Linked DNA regions of Callithrix jacchus. The protein of the gene in region 1 interacts with the protein of each later gene in a biochemical or structural test. Links are inferred from orthologs where the notes say so. Each region holds a gene or a part of one and is shown in the gene's direction. Other genes may lie near its edges.

Region 1 (4,362 bases):
CAGAGGTGGCATGCTCTGGGAGGCGCGGAGTGTGGAGGCCGGCTCCCATCACCACTGTATCCACGCCCGGCTCTAGGCCTGGCCAGAGGTTCTTGAGTGGGAGTGCTTTGTCTGCCCCACAGACCCGCCTGCCATGCGTGTCGATACAGGTGGGAGGTGCCGGGGCCCCTGTTCTGGGATGACTGTCAGTGTGACTCATGTCAAGCCCCTTGGCACATGTGAGCTCCTTTACAAGCTACGCCCTTCAAGTTAGAAAAGAGGAAATGGAAGCCGAGAGAGAGAAGAAATGTGACCAGGTTCTCACAGCTTGAATGTGGTGGTGCCCTCCGGCTGGTGCCCCCTCCTGGACGGGGTCTGCTATCCTGTCCCGGAGGGCAAGGGATGTGCGGGGCAAGCCTTGTGCAGCAGGTCAACACGTGCCCCTTCGCCTTTGGTAGACCTGACCCAAGGATGGAGGGTGTCCAGGTCTGGGGGCTGAGGGATGGGTGTCTACCACGGAGCCCTCAGAAATTGCTGGTCCTGGATGGCAGTCCCTGGAGAGGCAGCTCCCCTTTGAGCAGTGGGCGAACGTGGCCATGCCCAGCCTTGGAGGAGGCGCAGTCCCACTGGCCACCTGGACTGCTGAGATGCAGGACTCAGGAGCCAGTGTCGTCCTTGGCCAGGTGGCCAGCCCGCCCTGTGGCGCTGTGGTGGTCTCCTCTCAGAGCCTGCTTCCTCGGCCTTCTGGAGACGCCCAGGGGAAAACCCAGCCTGTTCCCGCTGTAAACAGTCCACGTCCCCTCCAAGCTCCCTTTGTGTGTCTCCAAGCCAGACTTCAGGGATCAGAGCTGTGCTGCCATGCCCCTGGGAATGAGGGTAGTGGGGTCACAGAGCCATCACCTGGACCTCGGAGCCCTTGGCTGGTGGCACCCAAGGCCTCCCAGCCTCCGGCGGCAGCTCCGTGCCTCTGAGGGGGCGGGGCAGGGCTCCACTATGCCCCGCCCCCTCAAGTTTGCTCTGTCCTGGGCAGGCCGTAGTCCCAGTTGAAAAGCTGTGTCCCCTTGGGTGTTTTGGGGATTCCGGGTTGGCCTTGAAAAGCCCTGGCGGAGGGCAGAAGGCTCAGGAGGCCTGTCCAGGGCGTGGCATCCAACGTGGTCGTCCTCTGGCCCACCCACACCTGCTAGGCCACGCTTCTTCCTAAGCCGGCCACGACTCTCCTGCGTCTCCGCAGCCAATCGTTCTGCCCAGCGGGACTTCAGCTGCTCCTGGACACTTTAGCTGTGGGCTGTGACCTGTTTCCGGGAAGGAGAGAGCCGGCGTGAGAGCCGCGGCTGCCGTGGCGGGGCGTGGTAGACGGTGGACGGCCAGAGCGCCCCCCCTCGCCCCCGTCTCTGTGTCTGTGTCTCTCGCGCGCGCTTGCTTGGTGTCTGTAATGAGGAAGTTCTCCGCAGCTCAGTTTCCTTTCCCTCGCTGAACGCCTGAAACAGGAAGTCAGTCAGTTAAGCTGGTGGCAGCAGCCGAGGCCACTGAGAGGCAACAGGAGGCAGGTTGCAGTGGAGGGGCCTCGGCTCCCTTTGCTGGCGGGTGGGTCCTGGGGGTGCCGGCCGGCCCGGCCTAGGAGCCCCGCGCCCGCCATGGTCCCCTGCTGGAACCACGGCAACATCACCCGCTCCAAGGCGGAGGAGCTGCTCTCCAGGACTGGCAAGGACGGGAGCTTCCTCGTGCGTGCCAGCGAGTCCATCTCCCGGGCATATGCCCTCTGCGTGCTGTGAGTACAACCTGCTCCTTCCCCGGGCACAGAGGTGACGGAGGGGCTTCGAAGGGCCCAGAGTGGGATGGGTTGTTCTCCTGTCACACAGGACAGAGTGACCTGACATGCACACTTCCCCGCCACCCTGCCACAGACCCTGGCCTTAGACCTTGACCTTGGAGTTCAGGGACCTGGTCTCATGGCAGTTTTTGCAGCCTGGGAGCTGTCAGAGCCACTCTGAGGCCTGATCTGACACCCCAGCTTCCCGTGAGCTGTGTGGTGCCTGGGGCTTCCTTGGGGTCTGAGGACCGAGAGAAGAGGGTCTGGCTCTTTGAGCTAGGAGGAAGCTCACGGCTCTTTGGAGGTGGGTGTGTTAGAGCAGTTCAAAGACGCCCAGCTCAGAAACCCTGAGAAGAGCAGAGGTGGCCAGAGGGACCCTTCCTGGAGCACCCAGGCTTTGGGCCCATGGAGGAAGCTGCTGTTTGGCGACCCAAGATTACAGGGTGGGTTTAATCAAGAAAGGACTTTCACTCAGAAGCTGCTTTCGGGGGCCTGAGAGCAGAGGAAGCCACCATTACCAGTAGCGAGCAACCTCTTCTGTCTCTCCTGAGCACTCAGCTGTGACCGCTGCCCACCCCTCACCCCCTCAGTTTGGGTCTCTGTCACCATCAACTCCTTCCACTGCCCGGTTGGGGATGTTTCTGAATGTGCCAGCTGTGCTGACATGAAGGAACCAGCCACTTGCTGAAGGTTCCTTTCTAGAACCCCCGTCCTGTCCAGTGTCTGAAGGACACCCTTGCCCGGCAGCTCTTGGTCCATTCATTCTACTGGGGCCTCGGCAGTGCCAGAGCGTAGTCAGGGGAAGGGTGTGTCCGCCTGGACATCCCAGGTAACATCCCTGGGCTAGCAGAAGTGCTCCGCAGAGCAGCCAGGGTCTTGCCCTGCTCCAGGCAGGAGGGGAAGTGGGCAGTGAACCCAGACGTGTTTTGAACACTGACTCACAGCTGGGACCCGCTGTGCTAAGCATTTGTTGGCCCATTTCATCCTCACCACAACCTAAAATGCAGGTTCTTTAAAAGGCCTACTTTGCAGATGAGGAATCTGAGGACCTGGTGGGTTGAGTGACAGCAGTCAAAGCCACGGCCGTCTGCCCCCGAGGCTGCAGCTGAGACCAGCAGCCTGTGTTGCCCAACCTCTCCTGCCCCCAGTCCAGTGGGGCATGCATGTAGCCTTGGGGGGTTAGAGGCGGAAGCAAGGGGAGCCAGAGTGTATACGGGGTCGGCTGGGGCACTGCAAAGCAGCCCCGCTCACAGCTGGCTGCTGGCCTGTGCTGGCAGTCTGCAGCCCCACCTCTGAAGACTGGTTTCCTGTGCCCCCGTCTCAAACCTCAGGGGAAGGAACACAGGCCCAGGCTGCCTAGACTTCCCCATTGGGGACCTGCTGCTGCCGGGGCCTTAGAAGTGGCAGGGAGATTCTTTTAGGCATCTGCAAGCCCAGTCTGACTCCACCCTGCCCATGTGGATTACTTGGATTTCTCTCCAGGCCCAGTGGGAAGTTGTCCTGGCTGCTTGGTGTTGGCTGAGCAGAGGGCATCTGGAACGGTATCTCGTTAACCTTCACCGCCGCTCTCCGACCAGGTTCTGTGGTTGCTCAGGTTACAGATACAGGACATGGGTCTCTCTGACTCCACGCTGTGAGCATCTTAATATCTAGGGTCAGAGTGAGGCACAGCCAGAGCTGGAGAGGGCTTGGAGAAGCTCTGGTGCCACAACCCTGGCTTTTTGGGAGTAGACAGAGAGCAGAGCCTGAGGTCTTTGTTCACATGCTGGCTGGGGGCAAACTGCTGGGATCCAGGCCAGCTTCCATATTCCTTCCTCCACCTCTTCTCTCTGAAACCTTGTCTGTACTGAGTTACTCTCAGATCCATGATGGGTGAGCAGCGACTGCTCCTTAGGGAGGGACCTGTGGTGCCCACAGATGTCTGCTGTCCTCTTAGCTGAAGCCTGGCAACCTCCCATCCGGAGGCTGCTGGGCTGCAAATGCCAGGAGCTCCACCCCTTGGCCAGACAAGCCCTGGGCTCAGGGTTCCCCTTTCTCCCCTGCTCAGGGAGGGGAGCAGGCCCCTGCTGCAAGGCCAGGCTCCACTGGCGGCTGTGGGCCACCCTGTGCCTGCAGACTTGCTGCGCGCCTGCGAGGCTTCACGTGGCCTAAAACTAACTAAAGGAATGATAACGGCCTGTCATCTTGCAACACCTCATTTCATGAAAGAAAGCCGCCTTTACACCAAAAAAGGCAGGAAGGGCATATTAGAAAAAAAAAAAAGGCATTTAAGGCAAAGAGATTGAACTTCTCGAAAAACAAACCCCACCACTGTTAGTTTTCTCTGTTCCCCGCAGCATGGCCGTGGCCTGACGGCAAAGGCAGGCAGTAGGCAGTCCCAGGCTGAGGGCTGCGCCGGCAGCTCCAGAGGGAGCAGGCTTTGTCCCCCAGCCTGGAAGCCTATCAAGCCTCAGGGACCCCAAGAAGTGCAGCTGATGGGGCAGGGCCATGGAGCCACCCTGCTCTAGACGTGACTGTAGAAGGAAGCCACACTCTCACTCTCCTGCCCTAGCAAAGTCCACTGGGCAGAGAAA
Region 2 (2,968 bases), on another chromosome or scaffold:
CTGCCACATTCTGGAGTGTCCTGAAGGGCTTGCCCAGGATGTCATCAGCACCATTGGTCAGGCCTTCGAGTTGCGCTTCAAACAATACCTCAGGAACCCACCCAAACTGGTCACCCCCCATGACAGGTGAGCAGGTGGGGAGGATGTGCAGCAGCTCTTAAGCCCCAGAACAGGATTGGGAAAGGAGGGCTGCTCTTCCTACACTTGAGCTGAGAGGCTTAGGGAGGGAATAACCTGCGTGCCTCTGCTTCCCCCTTCCTGTGATTCTTCCATTTCCTGTGGCCCACAAGGAAAGACTCTTGAGGCCCTGCTTGCTGCAGGGCCAGCTTTTCCTCCTGTTGCTCATGGTGGAGCTGCAGTCTGAGGCATCCAAGTTACATCTCTCTCTCTGGCTAGATGAGATTTTTCTACTCCCATCCCTCTTGCTTGCCCATTTCTCTGACACTCTGTATTTTAATGCTTCCAGAAGCCATCAAGAATTTGGGTTTGTGAGGATATCTCTTTTCCCTGAGATTAGTGTTTCCCACCTCTGGCCGTGAGGGATAAGCAGTGGCGCCAGGAGGGACTGATTAGGAGAGGTTAAACTATTCTGTAGTGCCTTCTCCCCACCTCACTACATAATGCTTCCCTTCCTTGCTGGCAGATAGCACAGTGATCAAGGGCAAGAGCATTACTTTTTTATTTTGAGACAGAATCTTGCTGTGTTGCCCAAGCTGGAGTTCAGTGGTGTAATCACACAACTCACTGCAGCCTCCATATCCTGGGCTGAGTGATTCTCCCACCTCAGCCTCCTGAGTAGCTGGGACTACAGGTGCATGCCACCACACCTGGCTAAGTATTATTATTTTTTTGGTAGAGGCAGTCTCACTACGTTGCCCTGTCTGGTCTTGAACTCCTAGGCTCAAACAACCTCCCTCCTTGGCCTCCCAAAGTGTTGGGATTACAGGTATGAGCCATTGCACCTGCCCAAGGGCATAAGCTTTAAAGTCAAACCTGAATTTAAATCTGAGTCTGTCACCTTTTAGTTGTGAGACCTTGGGCAAATCTTTTCACCACTGATCCTCATTTGCCTCATCTGTAAAACTAGGAAAGAAAACAATACCTATCTTATGGGGTTGCCAGGAGAATGAAATGATTAGGTATATAACACACTCAGCCTCAGGCCTAACCCATAGTAAATACCGAATACATGGCTGCTGTTCCGTTCCCTCCTCCTGCCCACCACACATTTACGGCCACACCTTCACTGTCCTGTCTCTCAGGATGGCTGGCTTTGATGGCTCAGCTTGGGATGAGGAGGAGGAAGAGCCACCTGACCATCAGTACTATAATGACTTCCCGGGGAAGGAACCCCCTCTTGGGGGGGTAGTAGACATGAGGCTTCGGGAAGGAGCCACTCCGCCCACTGCCCAGACCCCCAGCCACTTGGGAGCTACACTGGTAAGTTGTTTGGATGGAGGCCTAGGGTGGGAGTGGCTGGTTAGGGCCTCTGGTTCCACCTTATTTTCATCCTTGCAGCCTATAGGACAGCCTGTTGGAGGAGATCCAGAAGTCCGCAAACAGATGCCACTTCCACCACCCTGTCCAGGTATGAAGGGAGCCGAGATGGGCAGAGCTGGGGAGTCCTGGAGGCAGGACCGGGATCACTGTACAGCCTCCCTTTCCTCAGCAGGCAGAGAGCTCTTTGATGATCCCTCCTACGTCAACGTCCAGAACCTAGACAAGGCCCGGCAAGCAGGGGGTGGTGCTGGGCCCCCCAATCCTGCCATCAATGGCAGTGCGCCCCGGGACCTATTTGACATGAGTGAGTGCTCCTCTCTCCTCTCTGCATCCCTATCTTCCTACTTGGTTCTGGCCCTTCCCCTGCCTATATCTGCTCTTTCCTTCCCTGAAGTCTGGGTCTTGGGTGTGTATTGTGCCTGCTACCTCCCCTCACCCTCTCTCTACACCTCCAGAGCCCTTTGAAGATGCTCTTCGGGTGCCTCCACCTCCCCAGTCGGTCACCATGGCTGAGCAGCTCCGAGGGGAGCCCTGGTTCCATGGGAAGCTGAGCCGGCGGGAGGCTGAGGCACTGCTGCAGCTCAACGGGGACTTCCTGGTGCGGGAGAGCACGACCACACCTGGCCAGTATGTGCTCACTGGCTTGCAGAGTGGGCAGCCCAAGCATCTGCTACTGGTGGACCCTGAGGGTGTGGTGAGTATGGCAGAGGTGAGGGTGAGGGGTGGCAGAAAGGAAGGTACAGTACCCTACAGTGCATTCTTGTTCCTTCCCCCATTGCTTTCTAGACATTTCCTGCTGGGCAGCTCTCTGTGGGCCTCTCTGCTCTTCAAGGTGTCTGGCATCTTCCTCCAGGGGCTTATCCCTTAGCCTGAACTGTGTCCTTTATAGTCCTGGCACAGGGCCAGGCATGGTGGCTCACGCCTATAATCCCAGCACTTTGGGAGGCCAAGGTGGGCAGATCACTTGAGGTTAGGAATTTGAGTCCAGCCTGGCCAACATGGTGAAACCCAGTCTCTAGTAAAAATATAAAGATTGGTCAGGCACAGTGGCTCACGCCTGTAATCCCAGCACTTTGGGAGGCTGAGGTGGGTGAATTACCTGAGGTCAGGAGTTTTGAGACCAGCCTGACCAATATGCTGAAACCCTGTCTCTACTAAAAATACAAAAACTAGCCGGGTGTGGTAGCCTGTACCTGTAGTCCCAGCTACTTGGGAGGCTGAGGCAGGAGAATCGCTTGAACCAGGGAGGTGTAGGTTGCAGTGAACTGAGGTGACACATTGAGGCTCTGTCTCAAAAAAAACAAAACAAAACAAAACAAAAACCTGTGTGTGGTGGCACACAGCTGTAATCTCAGCTACTCAGGAGGCTGAAGCAGGAGAATGGCTTGAACCGGGAGGTGGAGGTTGTAGTGAGCTGAGATCACACTGCTGCACTCCAGCCTAGACAACAGAGTGAGATTCTGCCTAA
Region 3 (3,645 bases), on another chromosome or scaffold:
AGAATGCCAAGTTCCAGCTGACCATGTGGTTAGCATCTCGGGACAGCGTCTTCAGTTACAACCAAGCAGTACACAGATGAAGGTTGAAAGTATTCAATGGAAGATGCAGCTGCCCTCACGTAAGGCATTTAATCAGATATTTCAGTGGGAGAATGGCTCGACGACTATCAATGCTTCCAACGATAGATTCCATTTTGAAATTGAGAACCCAACTCTTCTCATCGAGGCAGCTCAGCCGCAGGACAGTGGCTTCTACTGCCTAGAGGCCACCTATACATCTGGAGAAATTCACAGAGCCACGTTCCAGGTTTCTGTATTTGGTGAGTCTCCAGGACTGCTCATACTGCCCTCTCTGATTCCCATAGGCCTCTAATTTCTGTATTTCCAATGCCTTTCTGATCAGAATCTCTGCTTCCAGATACAATTGAGAAGCCCCGCCTACAGGGGCAGGGGAAGATCCTGGACAGTGGGAGGTGCCAAGTGGCTCTGTCCTGCTTGGTCTCCAGGGATGGCAATGTGACCTATGCTTGGTACAGAGGGAGCAAGCTGATCCAGAGAGCAGGTAACCTCACCTACCTGGAGGAGGTTGACGTTGATGGCCTGCACACATATACCTGCAATGTCAGCAACCCCGTTAGCTGGGAAAGCCACACCCTGAATCTCACTCAAGGTTGTCAGAATGCCCATCAGGGTAAGTGGAACACACTGGGCTATAACAGGGGCTGAAGGTGTGTACCCCAAGACCAGGCTCATGCTCAAGACAGATGTGGTATGAGATAAAATCCCTTGGTCTCCTCTCCCAGTGCCTTGTAGCCCTTCCCCGCGCAGTCCTGGCCTCCAGGCACATGGTTCCTCTAAAGCCAGGCCTATCCGATTCTGGAAAAAAAAATAAAAAAAAATGTTAGCCCTATTTCTTTCTGGGAGATGCAAGTGTTTCCTCTGCAGAGGGAAAGTGTAATTGTTTGCTGAGTGACAGTCCTACAATGGCTTGAACATAATTTTCTTCCTGGGAGAGGCTGATGGAGAACTGTTCTCTTCTCTTGAGTGATAACTTTCCCCAAGCCACATAGTTTGAGAGGTTAACGACACCGTGCAGCAGTAGCCTGGAGCAGGAGCATCACAGTGATCCCAGGGATACCTAGACGAGTTCTTGGGTTGCTTATGCTCACCCTAAGAGTTACCTGTGTTAACTTGGCACAACTTTTTATTAGATAAACAGAAACTTCTTGGGCCAACAACATGGGCATTACATAAAAAATTTTAAAAAAGCATACAGCTCTCATTTGTAAGGAACTTATAGCCAAATTGGGGCAACAAAAATAAGTGCTTCTGGACAACAAAGAAACAAGACTGAGGCAGGCCAGGCGCAGTGGCTCACGCCTGTAATCCCAGCATTTTGGGAGGCTAGGGTGGGTGGATCACGAGGTCAGGAGTTCGAGACCAGTCTGGTCAACATAGTGAAACCCAGTTTCTACTAAAAATACAAGCAATTAGCTGGGCATTGTGGCAGGTGCCTGTAATCCCAGCTCCTCAGAAAGCTGAGTCAGAAGAATTGCTTGAACCCAGGAGGTGGAGATTGCAGTGAGCCGAGATTGTGCCACTGCACCCCAGCACGGGCAGCAGTGCAAGACTCTGTCTCAAAAAAAAAAAAAAACAAAAAAAAAACGAACCAAGAATGAAAGACTGAGGCAATGTGTAGTGACAAGGACACTGGCTTCATCATTCATAGAAGCTCTGTGCTCTCTTAGAGGTCAGGTGTGGTGGCTCATGCCTGTAATCCTGGCACTTTGGGAGGCAGGTAGATCACTTGAGCCCAGGTGTTTGAGACCAGTCTGGACAACATGGCGTAATCCCGTCTCTATTTGAAAAAAAAAAAGAAGAAGAAACTCTGTGATCTCTAGCAGATTCATTGATTCATGAACATCTTTGAGCCTCAATTTCTTTCCCCCTTGGGTAAAATGGGGATGATAATAGGTACCTCACAGGACTGCTGTTAAGAGTAAATGAGACGATGTTTGTAAAGAGCCTTGTCAGTACCTAGGACACTTCATTCCTTTTCCTTTTTCTTGTTGGCTGGATTGTATATCAGGCTACATGTGTGACACAAATGTTTTAAGTAGAAGTTCAAATGAGGAAGACCTATGAAGCCAGGAGTAGTGGAAAAGTGAGATGGAAAACTTGCCTGTACAATGAATATTTTTTGAGTTAAAAGCAAATAAATGGATAAATGTAACATTTGTTGTGCTAGATGCTTTACACGTCCTTCAGTATCCATGGGGGATTGGTTCCAGCACCCACCCCCAACCACAGATGCCAGAATCCACGGATGTTTAAGTCCCTGGCATAAACAGGTGCAGTATTTGCATGTAACCCATGCATATCTTCCTGTATACCTTACTTAAATCATCTCTAGATTAATTGTCCTACCTAATACAATGCAAACACCATTTAAATAGTTGTTATACTGTATTGTTTAGGGAATAATGACAGTATTGTTTAGGGAAAAAAGTCTCTATGTATTCACATGCAATTTCTTTTCCCTGAATATTCTGGATCCACAGTTCATCGAATCCACAGTTGTGGAACTCTAAACTTTGGAGGGTCATGTGATTAACCCCTATAGGTAGAAAACATTATCCCCTTTTACAGGTGAGAAAATCTGAGAGGCTCTTTGAGAGGCCCAGAGAGGTAAAATAAATAGTGCAGAGCTCACAGAGTTAGAATTTGAGCCAGGCCTGTCTGATATTAATATCCATGCCTTGGCATCACTCAGAAGAGGTTACCCAACCGAGCAAAGAGTAAACCTTGACGGTGAGTTCACAGAGTGTGAGGTGATCAACTACACCACAAAAGGAGGGGGTTTTGAGACAGCCTCCCTCAGGCAGGTGAGAAGGAAGAAGAGAGCGAGCTGACGCTCAGTCCTCATGCCTTCTGTATTCCTTAGAATTCAGATTTCGGCCTTTTTTGGTGATCGTCCTGATTCTAAGCACGCTATTGCTTGGCACCCTTGCCTGCTTCTGTGTGTGGAGGAGAAAGAAGAAGGGGAAGCAGTCAGGTGAGTGGAAGGTCCTTGGGGTGGTGCTGCTGCCCGGGGCCTCGGATCTTGTGTCTTGTCCAGTGGGATGTGTCTGGGAGCACAGCATCTCCCTTTCCTCAGGGAGCTTCGGTATATGCGTGTACGTGGTGGGGGAAGGCAAGCAGGCTCCTAGGCTCTCTCTCCCAGTTCATGCCTTCTGATCCCCAATGCGCAGATTTCCCTGCAGGCAGCTGATTTGGGAGGAGGCGTGGCAGGGGCGGTTCGGTTGCCGCCTCTGTGCTCTTTGCGTTTCCTGGGAAGAGCATTAACCATGTAGGCCGGGCACGGTGGCTCAAGTCTGTAATCCCAACACTTTGGGAGGCCGAGGCGGGTGGATCACGAGGTCAAGAGATCGAGACCACCCTGGTCAACGTGGTGAAACCCCGTAAAATACAAAAAATTAGCTGGGCATGGTGGCGCGTGCCTGTAGTCCTAGCTACTCGGGAGACTGAGGCAGAATTGCCTGAACCCAAGAGGCGGAGGTTGCGGTGAGCCGAGATTGCACCATTGCACTCCAGCCTGGGTAACAAGACCGAAACTCTGTCTAAAAAAAAAAAAAGCGCTAACCT

What was found.
Region 2: the proteins of INPP5D (region 1) and SHC1 form a complex in vitro, tested with the Homo sapiens proteins (2 studies listed by BioGRID and IntAct, with this or other methods). The link is inferred for Callithrix jacchus from reciprocal best matches to the Homo sapiens genes INPP5D and SHC1.
Region 3: the proteins of INPP5D (region 1) and CD244 interact in a biophysical measurement, tested with the Homo sapiens proteins (2 studies listed by IntAct). The link is inferred for Callithrix jacchus from reciprocal best matches to the Homo sapiens genes INPP5D and CD244.

The regions. Positions count from the first base shown.
Region 1 is NC_133507.1:154,424,598-154,428,959, forward strand, and holds the start of INPP5D (phosphatidylinositol 3,4,5-trisphosphate 5-phosphatase 1), read left to right. Parts: upstream 1-1,472; 5' UTR 1,473-1,613; coding exon 1,614-1,747; intron 1,748-4,362. UniProt on the Homo sapiens protein: Phosphatidylinositol (PtdIns) phosphatase that specifically hydrolyzes the 5-phosphate of phosphatidylinositol-3,4,5-trisphosphate (PtdIns(3,4,5)P3) to produce PtdIns(3,4)P2, thereby negatively regulating the PI3K (phosphoinositide 3-kinase) pathways.
Region 2 is NC_133519.1:15,379,886-15,382,853, reverse strand, and holds the end of SHC1 (SHC-transforming protein 1), read left to right. Parts: coding exon 1-126; intron 127-661; exon of another isoform or gene 662-1,262; coding exon 1,263-1,440; exon of another isoform or gene 1,441-1,518; coding exon 1,519-1,588; exon of another isoform or gene 1,589-1,669; coding exon of another isoform or gene 1,670-1,672; coding exon 1,673-1,804; exon of another isoform or gene 1,805-1,955; coding exon 1,956-2,368; downstream 2,369-2,968. UniProt on the Homo sapiens protein: Signaling adapter that couples activated growth factor receptors to signaling pathways. Participates in a signaling cascade initiated by activated KIT and KITLG/SCF.
Region 3 is NC_133519.1:20,750,197-20,753,841, reverse strand, and holds part of CD244 (natural killer cell receptor 2B4), read left to right. Parts: intron 1-2; coding exon 3-320; intron 321-403; coding exon 404-691; intron 692-2,944; coding exon 2,945-3,055; intron 3,056-3,645. UniProt on the Homo sapiens protein: Heterophilic receptor of the signaling lymphocytic activation molecule (SLAM) family; its ligand is CD48.